Linked DNA regions of Tribolium castaneum. The protein of the gene in region 2 purifies or fractionates together with the protein of the main gene of each other region. This does not show direct contact. Links are inferred from orthologs where the notes say so. Each region holds a gene or a part of one and is shown on either strand. Other genes may lie near its edges.

Region 1 (5,593 bases), on a different chromosome or scaffold from region 2:
GATATCCTCCGACTTTCATTACGTTAACTAACATTTGATGAAAGCTAAATGTCAATTGGAGCATACATTATTTCTAATAAAATAGGTCAAGGAAAACAACAGGGTGCATTTTTTTATTCTAATAAGAATTATTTCAATAATTTATTTTATCAGTGACATACCATGTAATACAAGATCGTAAGACATGTTACAAAAAATATTATATCCCAAATACCTACAAGGTTCTGCTTATTTTTCGCCCCATAATTGTGTAATAATATGATTAGGGACAGTTATAAAACTTACGCATTCATAATACAAACATGTGTGTCTACAAAAACGTTATGTAGGGGATAATTAATTGACGAAAAATTTATTTCTCCCTTCCTTCACAGGTGCGGGTGATATCTCACCAAGCTGTGTTCAATACAAACGCATACATAATGCTGTACGAATTAGAGTCATCTCCATTTACCAAATCAAATAACGGGACAAACAACAAGATAAAACCTCCGCTTTCTCCCGAAGCAAATACTAGCAACAACACATCAAAAGCTTCACTGAACGGTATCGGTTTTACGAGCGACAAAGTCTACGGCCCCGAACTGCCCCCCGACCGAGTAGAAAAGAAAATCAACGGTGTTAACCCCACACCGGTCACTAACGGTAACGGAAATCACTCAGAGAGTTCCGGAACGAGCGACAGCGAACCGGAAAATCCGCAAAAAAGTCCACAAAAAGAAAACAAACCGGTGGCGACACCTCCGCTTCCCCCGAAAAAATCAATGCCTAGCATAAATAACGAGGAAACCGCCAAATCACCACTAATGCAAAAGAATCGGACGTTATCGCCACGCAATACTAATAGTACAACACCGATTAGTTCAACAAATGCGGAAAAGAAAGGGTCATTTCAGCCGGTTACTACGAAATTGGTTCCGTATGAGACGGACGATTCGAGTTGTTCCGACGAATCGAATCAGTCGCCACAGGATGTGGAGTATAGAGTTTCTACGAAGGCGGCAGTGGGCGATTGGAAGGTTACTTCAACTGAACCAACGACGCAGAGTAAAAGTTGGGGAGAGAAAAAACAAGATGGGACTGTTAGCGAATTGTTCAAAATGTCCCACAGTGGGTATTCGGCACCTGTTTCCTCGTGGAACGGTACTAGGTCTCAGCTAGATAAGGAAATTAGCAACGAAAGGAGAGAAGACAGAAAGAGAGCTTTGAGTGATAATTCGGACCAAGGCAAAGTCAAACATCAAAAACTGAATAACTCCTACAAGTCTAATCCTGGTTACAATCCCGTACAAGTGAGTAATTTGTTAGTTCCGATAATAGCTTCTTTATATTTTTTGAAAAGCTATTAAATATATTAAAAAATATTTTGCAAATTTAAAAATAGTTTCCTAAACTTCTTGGATAAAAATATAGAAAATTGAGTGATTTTAGCTGTCGTTTCGTATTCAAATATTTGTATGAATTGTTGTATATCGTATTTTTGTTTCAGGAATTTCACAACACTAAGAACTGGAGTCAGAACAACGGTTACAAGCCGTTTTATTCGGGCAACCGGCACCGTCGTAATTTCCACCACAAAAGCTTTCATAAAAATTACCGCTTTAGGCAGTGATTAATTTTAAGGTTGAATATTTTTACATAGGCAATTGAACTTGTATAATTGTGCATATTATGTCACCATTGTTTAGCATAACTGAATTTGTGAATTTATAATGTAAGTATTTATATTTTTAAACAAACTATAATTCCTAATTTTGATTGAAAAACCGATGTAATAAAGTAGCGATAGTATAATTAACAATGAAATCTTTTAGGAAGTGGTATTTGTTTCATTTTTTTGAGCTTAATGTTCACAGTGCATTTAAAATACTGTATTTTTTCTATTTCTTTTCCTATTTGTACAAAGATTTATTTACCATTAAGCATAAAGATATTAAACTTTTACCATATATTACTTTAATGTTTATTAACTTCTTGAAATTGACGAATGTTTTGAATTTTATGATGCAACTTTGAAATTTTAAACAATGGTAATAGTCAAACCTACACTATGTGTACTCATGTTGTAGCAATGCAACCATGTATCTGTTCTAGAACAAAACTTTGGAAATAAAATTTTTATATTAATAGAAAATTTTATTGCAACATTAATTACAATCAGCTACTTGTTCTTGACTACAAAGTGACAATAAATTATACTTTTTGTGCTTAAGATAGTCAGGTATAACACTTAAAAACGCAAACCCCTTTATCACTTCAACAATAATAGCCACTTTTGCCTCTTTAAGATCAACTTTATGATCAGGCCTCAGCTCGGACACTTTCGCTGCAATTAATTTTATGACTTCATCCCGCGAAACAACATTATTATTCCGGTGGTTGAAGATCACACAAAACGTTTGCGGGGACTCCACAAAGTGTTTCTGGGCGAGGGGCACAAATGCGTTGACAATATCACTCACATTCGCCTTGCACGTAATTTCCACAGGAATCAGTCTCAGCAAAAATTTCGTTCTTTGGGTCTTACTCCCATCAACATCTTTTATAATCGCCTCTGCTAGCTCAACCGGATTCTCCAAACTCGTCCTAATGAATAGGAAATTTTTGGCACCAGATTCTATAACCTGGAATCGTTTTTCACTCTTGTCTTGCTTCAGTTCGGATATTTCTTTAGCCAACGAGTCGTCAATGTCTTGCTCAGCTTCAGGTTCGTTGCTCTCTTGGTACAATTTGTCAGCATATTCGTTTAGTAAATTGTAAGATTCCTTAATGCAGTCCTTTTCCCTGTTGTTACAACTGCAGAGGAAGCCCCGCAAGTTCACGTCCAAGCTCAGTCTTTTGTTGGAAGTTTTTTTAAAGTAGTATTTTTTGGATTTTTGTTTGGAAACAACTGGCTTACTCATGACTACGACCCCTACAAAACTATGTTGTAATATACAATTCACCAAATAAATCGATATGTGACCACTGTTCTTTGTTAATAACACGTATTAATCCAATATTTTTTTATTTGTAAGCATAAAAAGTTAAAATAAATACGCACTTAAAAATTAGGTTAGCTGAAACATCACGCCTGACCAACCTAACAGACAAAACTTCCTAAATTTTTTGTTTCTGTGTCAGACATTTTGTTGATGGGTGACATTTGTCACATATGATTTTACAATTTATAAATAAATCGCAGTGCTAAAATCCGTGCAAATTGTGATGGGTCGTTACTGTTAAAATGGGCTTTGATATTAATAGGTTTCAAGGAGATGTAGATGAGGAATTGGTGTGCCCCATTTGTTCGGGAGTACTGGAGGACCCCTTGCAGGTGTGTTTACTTATTTTTTTAATGGAAAAAGTCTTACTGGTTTTGCAGGCACCTGTGTGCGAGCATGCATTTTGCAAGTCCTGCATAACCGAATGGATCACAAGACAGCCCACATGCCCCGTGGACCGACAAAGTGTCACATCAGCGCAACTGCGCCCAGTGCCCCGAATTTTACGAAACTTGCTTTCTAGGTAATCAAAAAGTCTGAAATGAAACCGTTCGATTCAATATTTTGTTCCAGACTGTGTATAAATTGTGATAACGCTCAGTATGGCTGTACGCGTGTATTAAAATTAGACTCTCTCTCGAACCACCTTGAAGAATGCGAACATAATCCTAAGAGACCTTTACCGTGTGAGAAGGGCTGTGGTTTAGTGATTCCTAAAGATGAGTTGAAAGACCACAATTGCGTGAAAGAACTGCGAGCGCTGATACAGACCCAGCAGCAGAAAATGAACGACTTCCAGCAGGAAATCACCGAGCAGCGCTTCCTAATCAACGAGCAAAAGCGCGAAATGCAGCTGCTGAAGGAGTTCATGAGGGCCATGAGGATATCGAACCCTTCAATGAGGGCAATAGCTGATGCAATGGAGAGAGATGAAGTCTTAAGGTGGAGCAACTTTCTCCAAAGGGCGCGAGTCACCCGATGGGGAGGGATGATCTCGACACCAGATGAAGTTCTTCAAGTAGGTTCAATCAACAAGTGGCGAAATTTTCATAATTTCCTTCCAGAGAATGATTAGAAGGACGTTAACTGAGATGGGGTGCCCCAACCACATATTAGACGATCTAATGGAAAATTGTCACGAGAGGAGGTGGCCCCCCGGCTTGAGCTCGCTGGAGACCAGGCAAAACAATAGGAGACAATACGAAAACTATGTTTGTAAAAGAGTACCGGGCAAGCAGGCTGTGCTGGTACTGGCGTGCGACAATACGCATATGGGCGAAGACATGATGGTAGAGCCAGGTTTAGTTATGATTTTTGCTCACGGTATAGAGTAACCCTCTTTGTTTTTATTTTTTTTAATTACATTCCTTTTAAATACATTAATTTACATTAAGTTTAATCATAATCTTTCTCACTGCTTTATTATAAAATCTGGGGTCTGTAAGTGCCACAAATTGTTCCGTTCTGGTGGTGATGCAGTCAATTTTATCAATTAGAATTCGTAAAATTAGAAAATTGACAGGAAGTGCACTAATGATACAGGATTATTCAGCTTGAACAAATTAACTGTTTTGTAACTTACTGCAATGTGCCATTATTCATGAACCAAAAGTAAATTAAGGCTGTGGTCTACTTTATTAAAACATTTTCACCCGTTTACGTATAAATAGCTTTAATGGGTCATTTAAACACCGGTAAAAATGAAACTAATTCGCCGCTTGAGGGGCTTTAAACGTCGTTTGTAGAAAATTTAATTCTCTTCAACTGTTTTTGTTACGTTTTTCTTGTGTTTTTGATTGTATTCGCATGTAAATTATAAATTTAATAAATTATTCATGCACTTTAAAAAATAATAATAATGTAATTTATACTTTCAATGAGAGATCTAACCATTAATAATTATTGACTGTGTCTAAACTCCCGGGAGCGTCACGAATATTGAAAGTGACGTCATCAACGACCAGGATTTTTAATTGTTTTATTGATTTTTTGTATTTTACACATAATTTTTGTTGTAAATATTATAGCAATCCTTAAATTTTCCAATTGGAGGAGAAGCCAATCAGTCAAGTCTTTAATAACGATTGCAAGGCCAAATTTAAAAAATACTTACATTTTATTTTTTATTACACAAAAAGTTTGTGTCTTCGAGCATCATATATATATGATGAGTGCCTATAATAATAGGGAGAATTTTTTTGCAGACCAGTGTTATTGAACTTACTTTTTGCAATCAAGAAATTATTATAAACGTTGACTGCATCATCAATTTTGTTCCAGAACGTGTTCATTTGTCGATTTTATAATGCGTAAAGTCATCAATAATTCCTGCCGCCAGGATAATTGATTACTTTTGCATTTTCAAAGAATTTGCTGTTAATATTGATTTTTCAACAATAACGGAAACGCTGACGCAGACTTGAATGTTGGTGGATGTGCGGTTTTCCCGTTTTGTTTCGTTTTAGTTATGTATAGTTTAATGATCTGACATTTGATCTCAAAAATTCACAACAAAGTCGTTCCTACATCCGATCGGATTTGGTCTGACATAACACTAGTCACGTCAGAAATGTGATTTAATTTCTAAATTTTTTGAATGGAGGTATGGA
Region 2 (6,889 bases):
AAAGTGGTGCCAACATGAGGAAGTCGTTTCGTTCTTACAAGGAACTCCCCTGCAAGTCATCCACGAACCTCTGTCGGTACCGAAACTGATCGATCTACCGACCGATTATAGCGATTTGATTAATACCGTTTCGACGTTCACGTGTCCGAATAGCGACGAAGACGCGCGAACTCCCAGCATGTGTTTGGTCTGTGGGGAGATTTTATGTTCGCAGAGTTACTGTTGTCAAATGGAGTTGCACAACATGCATGTGGGGGCGTGCAATTACCACGCACAGATGTGCGGGGCCGGCGTTGGGATTTTTCTGAGAGTGAGAGAATGTGAGATTTTGTTTTTGGCGACGCCGCATAGAGGAAGCTTCGTTTCGCCGCCGTATTTGGATGATTACGGCGAGACGGATATGGGGTTGAGGAGGGGGAATCCCCTGAGGTTGTGTCAGGAGAGGTACAGGAAACTGCAAACACTGTGGTTGAGCCATAGTATACATGAGGAAATCGCCAGGGCGATCGAGTCGAATAGTCATGTGATCACGACGCAGTGGCATCATCTTTAGAGATTATGAAATTGTGATTTTTTTAAATACTAACGATGAAATATTTGTTGCCTTTTGTCTAATTTTACTAATTTATTTTGTTGGAATTTATTACAGTACTTATGGAAAATTACAAGCTCTCTTAAGGCCCACCCAACACGAAAAACACTGTTGTATAATTTTAGTAGGAAATTTAATATTTATAATAGGACAGTAAAAAAGAGTTGTATAATATTATGTGTAATACAAATTAATTAAAAAGATACAATTTTCATTCAAAATAAATATATTACCCACAGGTTTTTCTTACAAAATTATTTAACAGCACCCCCATGATTTTTTAGGCTCTGCAACAGTATCGATTACGATATTGTTAGTAACAGGTAGAAAAGGCTTCTGATTTTTTAGTTTGTGAGCCAGAGTTAAAAAAATCGCTTCTATGTTATCACATTGAGAATCGAGTCTTGCAGACGTTTCAAATAACTAAAAAAAATATTCTTTATTAGCTCTAGAACGGTAAGGTTGCGTCTATTACCGGCATGTTGTACTGATCTGCAAACCTCTGCGCTACGTTTGTGGTAACGGCAGCCACGCCATCACACTTATTCCCCACTAAAATTCTCGGTATGTCGTGGAGACAATTCCTGTTACATTCATCAACCCATTTTTTCAATGAATCAAAACTAGCGGCATTCGTGACGTCGTAAACTAGAACTATCGCGTGCGTATTTCTATAGTAGTGTTTCACCATTGACGATCTAAATCTCTCTTGACCCGCAGTGTCCCATAATTGCAACTAAGTAGAGTATAAAATGTTACTTAGAGTATAAAATGTTACTTCTGGGCCAGAACATTCGGCGTCTTAAAAAACAAGTCAGAACCTTACAAATTTAGCTGTTTGCCCAAAAGCAAACAACCGAATAGGGCCTAAAACCTCTCAAAAATCATTAATTTTTATCCACTCCAAAAGTTCCCAAATATATGTAGGCCACCAAAAATTGGGCACACGTAAAACAGGGTAAAATCCTACAAATACACTCTAAAAAACTAACAAAATACCTTGTTTTTACACACCCCAAAATGGCTTTTTACTTTATATGTTCTACAGTATTAATAAAAATCAATAAATTCATGTTTAATATCGACACCAAACGATACGATCGAACAAATACGACTTCGCAAACCAAGTGTTTTTATGTTCTTCTGTTCTGAGAATTGGACACTTTATAGCAGTTTTTAGTCTCTCTAAAAACTCTATCGCAGATTTTTCAGATGAATGGAGCCAATCCGGTTGTATCTTGTCAAAAATTATCAGCTCAAGTGTTCTCCCAGCTTCTAGGTTCACACTTGGAAATACAAGGTCTTGTTGCCTTCCAGCAACATTTGCGAATGGAGTTGACCAGTTAAAGTCTCCATCTATCATCCGCCCCAAATATTGGGCACACTCGTGTGCTGCGAGTGTTACTGCATCAGCTTTAAAGGCCCTATTCGCTTGTTTGTTTTTGGGCAAACAGCTAAATTTGTAAGGTTCTGACTTGTTTTTTAAGACGCCAAATGTTCTGGCCCAGAAGTAACATTTTATACTCTACTCAACTAATAATTGAAATATTAAAAAATATTTTTCCGGAATGATTCTTACAGTTATCTCTTCCCCATCTAATGTTAAGTTTCTGCTCCTAAAATCTACTCCGATTGTGGCCTCCGACTGTTCCAAAAAAGCCCCTTCACAGAATCTATAAGTCAGTGAGGTTTTACCCACATTTGAGTCCCCAATGACAATAATCTTAAATATCTTCTTGTAGTTTGTTGTTTTGTTAATCGTGGGGGCTTCATTAGCATTCGTTGGTGCAGTGTTTTCCATTTTTACTCCATTCAGATAATTCTTTAATCGCTATATGATAAAAAATTACGTAGTTGAAACAACAATAATAAAAATTGATTTACCTCAAATGAGTCACTTGATTACATCAAATGTACTTTTCCAGGTCATTAGAAAGTATAAATCATGTTGATTAATTGTTTTTTGTGTAAAAAATAGGGTTTAAAAAAATATTCTGACGTCTACTTGACAATCAGCTGCTTGACATTACAGTTACGAAACCCAAATTCCCTAAAAAACTGCTAACCACACTTTTGTTGTGGTTGCTTAACCTCAAAAAAACGTGTTAATTTGAAAAATGGTGCGTAAAAAAATTGATAATAGGATTCGAGTGTTGATCGAAAATGGTGTCAAGCTGGGGCACCGGACTTTGTTTGCCATAGTTGGTGATAAAGGCCGGGATCAGGTATTTAAAATTTGCATGTCTCCCCCGGTTCATTGCGTTTTTTAGGTGGTGATTCTCCACCACATGCTTGCAAAAGCCGAAGTTAAGGCCCGCCCATCTGTTCTGTGGTGTTACAAAAAAGAGTTAGGCTTCAGTAGCCACCGAAAAAAGCGCATGAAACAGCTCCAACATAAAATACAAACGGGCAAACTTAGCGTCAATGAGGACGACCCCTTTGAACTTTTCCTCTCCTCTACGAAAATCCGCTACTGTTACTACTCCGAAACCCACAAAATTTTGGGCAACACGTTCGGCATGTGCGTCCTGCAGGACTTCGAAGCCTTGACCCCCAACCTCCTAGCCCGGACTATTGAAACGGTAGAAGGGGGCGGCTTGGTTGTTATTTTACTGCGCTCGGTGGCGTCTTTAAAACAGTTGTACACCATGAGCATGGACGTCCACCAGCGCTTCCGGACGGAAGCCCACCAAGACATAGTCTGCCGCTTCAACGAACGTTTCCTCCTGTCTCTAGCCTCCTGCAAACGCTGTCTTGTGGTCGACGACCAACTTTCCGTCCTCCCAATCTCCTCACACAACCTCCACGTGACCCCGGTCGAGCCCTCGCAAGAGCCCTTGCCTTCGGAAAGCGAACTAACCGACCTCAAAAACCAGCTCAGAGACACCCAACCAGTCGGTAATTTAATCAACTGTTGCAAAACCCTGGACCAGGGTAAGGCGCTTTTGAAGTTCATTGAAGCCATTTCGGAAAAGACACTTCGCTCGACGGTGTCTCTGACTGCGGCAAGGGGGCGCGGGAAATCGGCCGCGTTGGGGCTGTCGGTGGCCGCAGCCGTGGCCTTCGGATACTCGAATATTTTCGTAACGAGTCCGAGTCCGGAGAATTTAAACACGTTTTTCGAATTTGTTTTTAAAGGATTTGACGCGCTTGAATATCAGGAACATATAGACTATAGTCTAGTGCAAAGCACGAACCCCGAGTTTAATAAGGCCATAGTTCGGGTGAATATTTTCAGGGACCACAGGCAAACTATTCAAGTGAGATAAAGCCCTAATTGTTAGAAAAATCCGATTTTTGGTTTTTTAGTACATTCAGCCGACTGATAGTCAAAGATTGAGTCAAGCCGAACTTTTAGTAATTGACGAAGCAGCTGCGATTCCTCTCCCGTATGTGAAATCAATGCTAGGGCCGTATTTAGTGTTTTTAGCCTCAACTATCAATGGTTACGAGGGCACCGGTCGCTCCTTATCTTTAAAATTATTGCAACAGTTGCGAATTCAGGCGGTTCCAGTGGGTGCCAACACCAATGCCGCAAATAAGAAGGACTCGGGGGCTGCCACTGGTCGCACCCTTCACGAGGTATTAGCTTTCAAAGTCGCACGTATATTTTTTATTTGATTGTTTAGGTCACTTTGGACGAATCAATTCGGTACAAACCCGGCGATGATGTGGAGGCGTGGCTCACTAAGCTCTTATGTCTCGACGCCACTTCCGTGGCCCCCATCTTGTCAGGGTGCCCTCCGCCCGACTCCTGCGATTTGTATTACATAAACCGCGACACCCTTTTTTGTTATCACAAAGCATCAGAGGAGTTTTTGCAACGTCTGGTCGCCTTATACGTCGCCTCGCATTATAAAAACACTCCGAATGACCTTCAAATGATGTCGGACGCCCCCGCACATCATTTGTTTTGTCTCTTGGGCCCCGTTGACCCCAACCGGAAGACCCTCCCGGAGGTGCTAGTCATAATCCAGGTGTGCCTTGAAGGCGAAATATCAAGATCCTCCGTTGTTGAGGGTTTTTCCCGGGGGAAGAGAGCCTCCGGGGATTTGATCCCGTGGACGGTGGGCCAGCAGTACCAAGACCCGGACTTTCCGCGCCTTTCCGGCGCCCGGATTGTCCGGATCGCCACGCATCCGGACTACCAGGGGATGGGTTATGGGGCGAAAGCCCTCAATTTACTCAAACAATACTACGAGTTTAAAATCCCGAGTACCGACGAATTTGAGGATGTGGTGGAGGAGATTAGTAATGTCCGGGAGGAGGAGGTCGGCCTTTTGGAGGAAACAATTGAACCAAGGAAAAGCCTCCCCCCTCTGTTAATCAAATTGAGTGACCGCAAACCAGAAAAACTGGATTATCTGGGGGTTTCCTACGGTTTAACCGAACAGTTGCTGAAGTTTTGGAAGCGGGCTGGGTACGTCCCTGTTTATTTGAGACAAACGACGAACGATTTAACAGGGGAGCATTCGTGTATTATGTTGAACGTTCTTAACGATGAGGATGGGAGTAACGATTGGTTGATGGCGTATTGGAGCGATTTCAGGAGACGTTTCGTTAATCTTTTAGGCTACCAGTTTAGCAAATTTTCGCCAAGTCTAGCCTTGGGCGTTTTGACAAATAAGACGCGAAAAATCACGTCTAAAAGTTTGTCCAGGGCCGAATTGGAAATACATTTGACCAGTTACGACATAAAACGGCTGGAAATGTACAGTAATAATTTAGTTGATTACCATTTAATCATCGACTTGTTGCCGACTTTGGCAAAACTGTATTTCCTGAACCAGATGGGCGATGTTCAAATGTCGGCAGTGCAATCAGTACAACTCTCAATATTTAATTTTTTCTTTATAACAAATGAATTTTAGGCAATTTTGTTGGGTGTGGGGCTCCAGTACAAGACAGTTGACACGCTCGCAGCCGAGCTCGATTTGCCCTCATCTCAGCTTTTGGGCCTTTTTAACCGAATGATTAGACGAATCGTTCAGTATTTAAATTCAGTCCTTGAGCAAGACATTGAAAAGTCTTTGGCCCCCCGAAAGGACGTCGAACTGACTCCAGTCGCGAAATCAATGCAACAGGAACTAGACGAAGCGGCGCAAGAATTACAAAAAAAGCAAAAAAAGGAGTTAGAGAAATTGAAAAATGAGTCTTTAACCCAATTCGCGATTAAGGGGTCTGAGGAAGAGTGGGGCAAAGTCTTGACGGGAAAAAGCAAAAAAAATATTATCACAATTAAAAGGTTCGCGATTTTTTAATTGTTACATTAGTGTTGTTTAGTGACTAGTTTGTAGTGGCGAGAAACGGCTACATGAGAGTAATACCGACGAAGTGAAAGAGGACCCAATCAAGAAGAAGAAGAATAAAAACAAGAAGCGGAAAAATAACTGATTTTATTAAAAAATAAAAATGTGTTATACTTGTGTAACTGAATACACTTCGTTATCTAATGTATCGTACAAGACAAAATAAACGTTGTAACACGAGAGAAACAGTCCGTTTTGTGTTACTTTCACAATTCCTTTGTAAGTCCCTGATAAAAGCGACGTTGGCAGCACTGAAACGTCAAGTGACGGCAAAATCGTGTAATTCCCCTTGACAATCGGGCATCTACATGGCACACTATTCTTTATGAAAACTTCCGGGCAAGTTTGGCCAACCGGAAATCCGTAATCACACAAATTGTTATAAGTACAGGACCCTAAACCATTCTCACAAGGGATTGGTATCCACACCCCCCAAATATCACGTTCTATCCATAAGGACGCCTAAAATAATGTGTCAAAGATGGACGCCTAACTGGGGGAAGTACCTTAATCGGGCCTACAAGGTCAATTGTGGAACTCAGGCTCCCAGTGACCTTAATTTTGGATTTTGAACCCATTTCAAGTGTGACATTAGCTACGGTCACAGGGTAATCTCTACTTGAACATTTTGAAATTTTCAAGTCTTTTATCAGCATGGAATTCTAAAAAATCATTTATTGATTTATGACTGCAGATAAATACGTACATAACTCGTTTCTGTCCTTATTAAAAATGGTTGTAGCCATAATAATACAAAGATCAAGTTTAAATGGCCCATAATTATCACAAAATTCACAGAACTGCGCAAATTAATGCACTGGAAAAAATTAACTCGTCGGTCTTAAGAAGTAGTCATAGAATAAGAGAGAGGGTCATATGGAGTCATCACGTGATTGCCTTTGTATTCATTTGTTTATAAATGGCGCCCGAATCTCGGTTTCCTATTGGCCAGGAATTAGCGCAACCTTTAAGCACAACACAGTTTGAG
Region 3 (6,179 bases), on a different chromosome or scaffold from region 2:
GGTGATGAGTCTGGTGTTGATGTAAGTCAATTTGGGGGTAATTTTTTTTTTGTTATGTATTGACAACAGGCAGGTGCCCCAGCTCCTAAAAGGAAGAGAAGTAACTCAGAGAAATCCTCAGATTCTGTTCCGTCGAAAGTTAGCAGTAATGCTAGAAACTCTGAAAGTGAAGGAGGTAGTTTTAAGGTTTATATCAATAGTAGCTTATTAAAAAATATTTTTAGAATCAAATATGAGTGAAAGTGCTGTAGACGGTCCTAACGAGTCTAGAATTGAATCTGAGAACAAGACATTCGGGAGTGCTGACGAAAATAATGCAGTGGACGAAGATTTGCCATTTTTGCCAAACATTAAAGTAGTTTCGGAGCTTAACTTAAAAAATTGGATTATTTATGTGAGTCAATTGGCACTTAAATACCTTTCATCACTGTAATTGCCCATTCAAATTGCAGGCAGATGCAGTTAAGGAAAAACCAGAGTTATACAAATGTAAGTTTTGTAGGATTTAATCATTGATTTGTTGTAATTATTCGGCTACAGCCCGCCCTGTTGACCAACGCCATTACTTCGAAAACCAAGTATTTCCGGTATTGCTCCCTTCCGGCAAATATGCAGGCCTTAAACTCCACAAGAAGTGGCCGCTGCACTTCGAAAATGAATACGAGTGTGCTATTTATGACAGTGATACAGCCTCCAGAGTGCTTCTCCTCAAAGATGCAGTGACTAGTGGCGAAATAACCCCAGAGAGCAATCCTGAATCGTTCCTCGATGATTTTGATCTCACTGAAACTGAAATAAAGCGAGATGCTGAAATGAAACTGATCAACAGCAAATACAAAAGGGTAGAGAGATTGAGAGCAGAGTCCAGCTTGGTTGAACTTGACGCAAAAATTAAGAATTGTCTCGGCTTAAATAAAGCCGAGCCAAAGAAAGCGTTGGAATTCTTGGATAGTTTACTTGAGATAAATATGGACGAAATTATGCTAAAGAAACACTCTCACGTTGTTGAGATGATCAGGAGGTTGAGAAAATACGTAGGAAATTTAGAAGAGTGGAATTTACCACCTGAGGAGCTTGAAACTTTCAACAACGACGCACAGAAAGTACGGACAAAGGCAGATGAGATTTATAAGAAATTCAAATCGGTTTGTAAATTACCGGCGGGGTCTGTTAACTTTTGGGACGGTTTCAATGACATTGTTAGGAAATTTAGGGAGGATTGCATCCATTTGAATAATAGGGAAGTTTTTGTTTTGTGTGCCGAGCCATGTAAGTTTGTTTTATTTAGAAATTTTCTTAGTTGTAATAAAATTACAGATTCGCGTCAAGCTATTATTGACCGACTTGAGCAGGAAGAAGAATTACAAGAGGCTGATATTCACCGTCCGGTTGATAGTGAAATTGAGAAAGTTGGTAAGGCATTAAGTGAATCATAGGATATTCAAATAACTCGCTTGTTCTAGCAGACGTTCAGTAGTGTTGCAAGTAATACATAAAGAAGAGTTTTTTAGTTTATTATTATTTTTTTTTTGTTAAAATATGTATGTTTAAACACTTTTCAATATAAAACATTATTTACGATCACGTCTACTTTCACTCCTGTCTCTCCTACTCCTTTCCCGCCTCTCTTTTATCTCCAAACTGATGGGTTTTTTGAAGGGTCGATCACGGCCACCGAACCGCAACTGTCCGGACTCCTTTTTCCCACCAAAGCCGCCTCCAAGTCGTCTCGGTCGCCACCCCTTTAATAACCTCTCACATTCAAAATCTACGAAAATTATGTTTCCATCAATATTCATTTTATTCGCTTTACAATACGCTTCCTCAGCGTCGAGCTCATTTTCGTATTCGATGAAAGCGTAGCCTTTGGGCATCCCTGTGACTATGTCTTTAACTAAACGAAATCGGCGCAAAGGGCCATATTTGGAAAAAATGTCCTTAATTGTGTCTTTTGTGGTTTTGAGACTAAGACGGCTGACGAAAATTGTGCACTCGGGACGGCCTTTAACGTGGCGGTTGGGGTGGTATTCGGAATTTAGGGCTCGGACGATGCCTTTGTCGTGGGGCTCCGTGTCGGTGCCGTCGATGGAACCAATTTTTATCGGGTCGTAATATTTGGCAAAACGGGACCATGAAGTGTCCGAAGAGTCCTAAATTATTTAAATAGAAATGAAATAAAGTTTGTTTATAACTTACGCTCATCGTCTTGTTTGAAAAAAATTAGGTTAAACAACTGTCACCTGTCAGAACCTTGCCATATGTGTCCGCATGAGTGTCTGGTCGAAATATTCAATTTTTTTTTAACAATAGTTTATTTTTACTTTGTACATGTACAAATTTCAAAATTGCAGCTAACGTAATGCCATCACTTGTTTGTGATAAGCTACGATTAGTTATTTTGTGTGTGGATCGCATAATTTTGGTTTCGAACTTAATAGCTTTCATGTGCCTTAGAAAAGAGTGTAGTGACGGAATCGTGACAGAATAATATAACCTCCAAATATAAAAACGTGTCTGGTTTTAATTTCTCCTAAAATGAAAAAGAAATCGACTGGAACTTTAGCTGATAAGATAGCAGGTATTTTGAATACCGCCCCTTCGAGTATTGACCCTGAAGATGAGGTTGATGACGCCACGGTTGCAAAAGTTGTGGAAGACGATGTTGAAGAAAACGAACAAGAAGATGAAATTTTGAGCAAATTTCGTCAAAAAAACATTGACCTGTTAGCTGATTTAGATGAGAAGTATGCCGGAAAAAAGACCAGTCGGAAGAATTTGAGGGATTCCGATTCAGAGGGTTTGTTACAAATGTTTGGTTTTAAAATTCTTGTGCTCAAAAGTTACTTTACAGACGCATCGCTGGGAAGTTTGGACGATAAGGAAGAAGAAGAAGAAGAAACTGAAACAAAAGGCAGTGCGAGCGAGAGCGAGGACGTGGAAGAAGAATCGTCTCAAGAAGACTCTGAAGGTCCAGAATCAAATGGTCTGCTTGGTTTCTTTTTTTTTGGCAGGACAAACGTTAAAATTTTATTTTTGCAGAAGATTTATCAGAAGATGATGGGGAGTTGTCGGAAAATGATAACACTGAAGAGAATTTCAAACACATTTCGGACACGAATGTTTCAAAACAAATTAAAAAAGGGCTTTGTGTGAGAAACCAAATGGCAATGTGGGAAAACCTCCTAGAAGTACGAATCCAACTCCAAAAATGTCTCTTGACTGCCAATAAAATGCCACAACCCGAGAAGTTTAAAGAAATCAAACAATCTGATCCCGATTTTTCCAATAAAGTTAATGAGACAAAAAACAAATTATGTGATGTCTTAGATAAACTACTATTGTTACAAAAATTGCTGTATAAACAGTATCCTGAAACAAAAAATTTGGATCAGACAAGCGCTCAAAGTGAAAAAGTTGAAGATCCTGATGATGAAGAAATTCCAAGTGATACAGATGTTGAAGAATCAGGCGGCGAAGAAGAAATTGTAAGCGATACTCCCAAGAAGAAACGAAAATTAGAATATTACGAAAGCGAAATTTTCGAAAAACACAAAAAATACAAAGATTACAGAAACAACATCATACAGAAATGGAACGACAAAACGCGCGTTGTGGTCAAAGGGGGCACCACTTCGCACTCAGTTCTAGACCAGATTGAATACAATTTGAGTAACAAAGATAAGCTTATCAAGAAAACGCAACTCAAGCGTTCCCAGTACTCCATCCTAGGTGAAGAAGAAACAGAAGATAGAAACAGTGAGGAGTACAATAGCGAGATTTTTGATGACGACGATTTCTACCATCAGCTTTTGCGCGAACTAATTGAAGTCAAGTCAGCCGACGTCAGCGATCCAGTGCAGTTAAGTCGCCAGTGGATTCAGTTACAGAATCTAAGGAGCAAAATGAAGCGAAAAATCGACACAAGAGCTACAAAGGGACGCAAAATACGATATGCTGTACACAGCAAACTGGTTAATTTTATGGCGCCCATTGATGGGAATTTATGGACAGATGACGCGAAAAATGAGTTGTATAGCTCGCTCTTTGGCAAAAATAAAACTGCATCTAATTTATAAAATAAATTGTTTTATAAATCCTTGTTTTTATTGAGTCATTACTCATTATCCCCCTTACATAAAGAGATTTTTTATAAAAAACACAACCTCCGACTCATTGTTTTGAAATAATTCTTATATTATAATGGGTGCAAGCTTGATAATAGCATTATACGCAGTCGTTGCACACTGCCTTTGTTCTTCGCTTTCGTAGTTCCACCTTTTACTTTAAAAATAATTGTTGGAATTTACCTTTTAAATTAACATAATTTTATAACTATAACATATGAGGTTTTTTTTTGTGTCTCATCCGTCATGTATTTCTTTTTCCTGCTCGTATTTGAAATTTTACATATGTCGCTCCCACTGAAGTTTGCAAATAGTTTGACTGATACAAAGCTCCTATAAAGGAAAAGTCACTTCCCTGATTCTGTTGATAAATTTTGAAAAAAAATCTAAAATTGGGGCAGTGTCCCGCACGTTAAAATGGAATGGCTAATAAGCTGCTTTTTCTTTTATTTCAAAAATTTATGAGACGACCGGTTGTGATAACAAGCAAGTGACAATCTGAAAAAAAATAAACGGCACATCATTAATAATTGTGCTTAAATAACCAATTACTGCAAAGGTGCGAACAAAAAGCTTTGTCTCTTATCTAATTCGTTTTTGTTAAGACTTTAGTTAATTTTTTTAAGTACCTATTGGCTTACATAACTACTCTACACAAATGATGTCTTATTTTAAAGCATTTTTTTGCATGGAATTTGTTAGCGCAGTCACCGATTTTTTTCAATTATTTCATTAATGATAAAGTTGTGTGATCTCTGTGAGTTCCCATTTTGCATTTTATATAAAGACGCGTTCTCACGGATCGATTTTAATTGTTCAGTTTAAGCTGATCAACAAAAATTGAATGAAAATCATCGTGAGAAACTTTATTTTAACTAAGTACACCAAGATTTTAAGAAAGTCGAATTCAGGTATTTTACTCGTTGTTTTACAGCCGTTGCAAGTAACGTTTATTTTATTACAGTTATTTACTTGACACATTCTTCTACTAGGAATGTAAGGGAGAAAATGTTTAAAAATGCTATCAGTGCTTTATTTAATTCATCATAAAAACTGAAATAATTGTGTTTTTTGAAAATTGTTTTGCTTCAATAATGAGTGTTAAAGAGAAAATGAAATACTTTTGGCCCTGTAGTAGTCTCTTAGAAATAAAGAGGTACTTATTTTAACTTGAAATTTTCTATCGTTTACTTGTAAAACTCTTAAAACGAATTAGCGGTACTGGCCTATGACATCGGCAATCTTTCTATTATGCGCTCGCTTCAATTCAGTGTCGTACATTCATATTAATTTGTTGATTTTTGTCGAGGATCACACACCACAAAAACGGACTCGTCTACTGAACATTCATTTTTATGCAAAATTTTCTGGTGAATTCGAATACGAAGTTAATCTTTTGATTTGGAACTGCCTTCATATTAAAAAAGACGTTTTTGAGGCACGTTTTGAAAAAATTGCAATAACTTGGTGAGTTTTCAAGATATCGAAATGATTCTTGCACCAAAAACATATTTAGTCTATTAGCTTCATTTCATCTCAGTTTTCTTTTGCCCAAACTAACACTTGTGTCTGTTCGTTAGAATCCACATTAATTGAGGAATCTTTTGCAAAAAAATAAGTTTCTAGCTTTATACAGAAGGAAGACATGACGATATAAACACCAATTTTAAGTTTTTCAAAAATTTTCACAAAAGCGTCTTTTTTATGATGAAGATATAACTTTGGATTTGAAATCAGCAGAAATTTCTGCATAAGAACCAGTTTAAAAAAAACATGTGTCCTCCAACCTAGACGGACAAATAAATTATTAATTATTGCGCGCTACTGATGGACCCAGTTAACAAAGAATACACAAAAAGGACATAAAATATGTAACGGCGACAGATAACTTGTGGACACTTATCTTGGAAAGACAAGATGACTTAAGATGATTTTCATTCAAGTTTGGTGGATCAACTTTAATGGAACAAATAATATCGATCCGTGGGGACGCGCTTTAACAATGTTCCAGAACATTTGATAAATCATATTCGACTATACCTAATTGAAGTTTGA

The links.
Region 1: the proteins of l(1)G0020 (region 2) and THUMP domain-containing protein 1 homolog purify together in Homo sapiens (co-immunoprecipitation; 3 studies listed by BioGRID and IntAct, counting the BioPlex papers as one, with this or other methods). This does not show direct contact. The link is inferred for Tribolium castaneum from reciprocal best matches to the Homo sapiens genes NAT10 and THUMPD1.
Region 3: the proteins of l(1)G0020 (region 2) and protein AATF purify together in Homo sapiens (affinity purification with mass spectrometry; 3 studies listed by BioGRID and IntAct, with this or other methods). This does not show direct contact. The link is inferred for Tribolium castaneum from reciprocal best matches to the Homo sapiens genes NAT10 and AATF.

Annotation. Positions count from the first base shown.
Region 1 is NC_087394.1:31,072,238-31,077,830, forward strand, and holds THUMP domain-containing protein 1 homolog, read right to left. Parts: upstream 3,138-5,593; 5' UTR 3,044-3,137; exon of another isoform or gene 2,966-3,043; intron 2,915-2,965; 5' UTR 2,904-2,914; coding exon 2,148-2,903; 3' UTR 2,116-2,147; downstream 1-2,115. Other genes in the region: scny (ubiquitin carboxyl-terminal hydrolase 36), read left to right, coding at 375-1,292, 1,490-1,612; elgi (E3 ubiquitin-protein ligase NRDP1), read left to right, coding at 3,227-3,507, 3,558-4,002, 4,049-4,318. UniProt on the Homo sapiens protein: Functions as a tRNA-binding adapter to mediate NAT10-dependent tRNA acetylation modifying cytidine to N4-acetylcytidine (ac4C).
Region 2 is NC_087402.1:4,625,470-4,632,358, reverse strand, and holds l(1)G0020 (RNA cytidine acetyltransferase), read left to right. Parts: upstream 1-2,677; 5' UTR 2,678-2,709; coding exon 2,710-2,817; intron 2,818-2,862; coding exon 2,863-3,852; intron 3,853-3,901; coding exon 3,902-4,174; intron 4,175-4,221; coding exon 4,222-5,415; intron 5,416-5,463; coding exon 5,464-5,837; intron 5,838-5,875; coding exon of another isoform or gene 5,876-5,882; exon of another isoform or gene 5,883-5,889; coding exon 5,890-5,986; 3' UTR 5,987-6,087; downstream 6,088-6,889. Other genes in the region: Ubr1 (E3 ubiquitin-protein ligase UBR2), read left to right, coding at 1-553; ras-related protein Rab-33B, read right to left, coding at 851-1,015, 1,068-1,328, 2,172-2,393; r-l (uridine 5'-monophosphate synthase), read left to right, coding at 6,821-6,889. UniProt on the Homo sapiens protein: RNA cytidine acetyltransferase that catalyzes the formation of N(4)-acetylcytidine (ac4C) modification on mRNAs, 18S rRNA and tRNAs.
Region 3 is NC_087396.1:16,777,954-16,784,132, reverse strand, and holds protein AATF, read left to right. Parts: upstream 1-2,535; coding exon 2,536-2,797; intron 2,798-2,851; coding exon 2,852-2,983; intron 2,984-3,039; coding exon 3,040-4,076; 3' UTR 4,077-4,094; downstream 4,095-6,179. Other genes in the region: uncharacterized protein Jasper, read left to right, coding at 1-21, 70-175, 225-394, 453-489, 541-1,269, 1,318-1,413, 1,464-1,477; U11/U12 small nuclear ribonucleoprotein 35 kDa protein, read right to left, coding at 1,572-2,150, 2,197-2,202. UniProt on the Homo sapiens protein: Part of the small subunit (SSU) processome, first precursor of the small eukaryotic ribosomal subunit.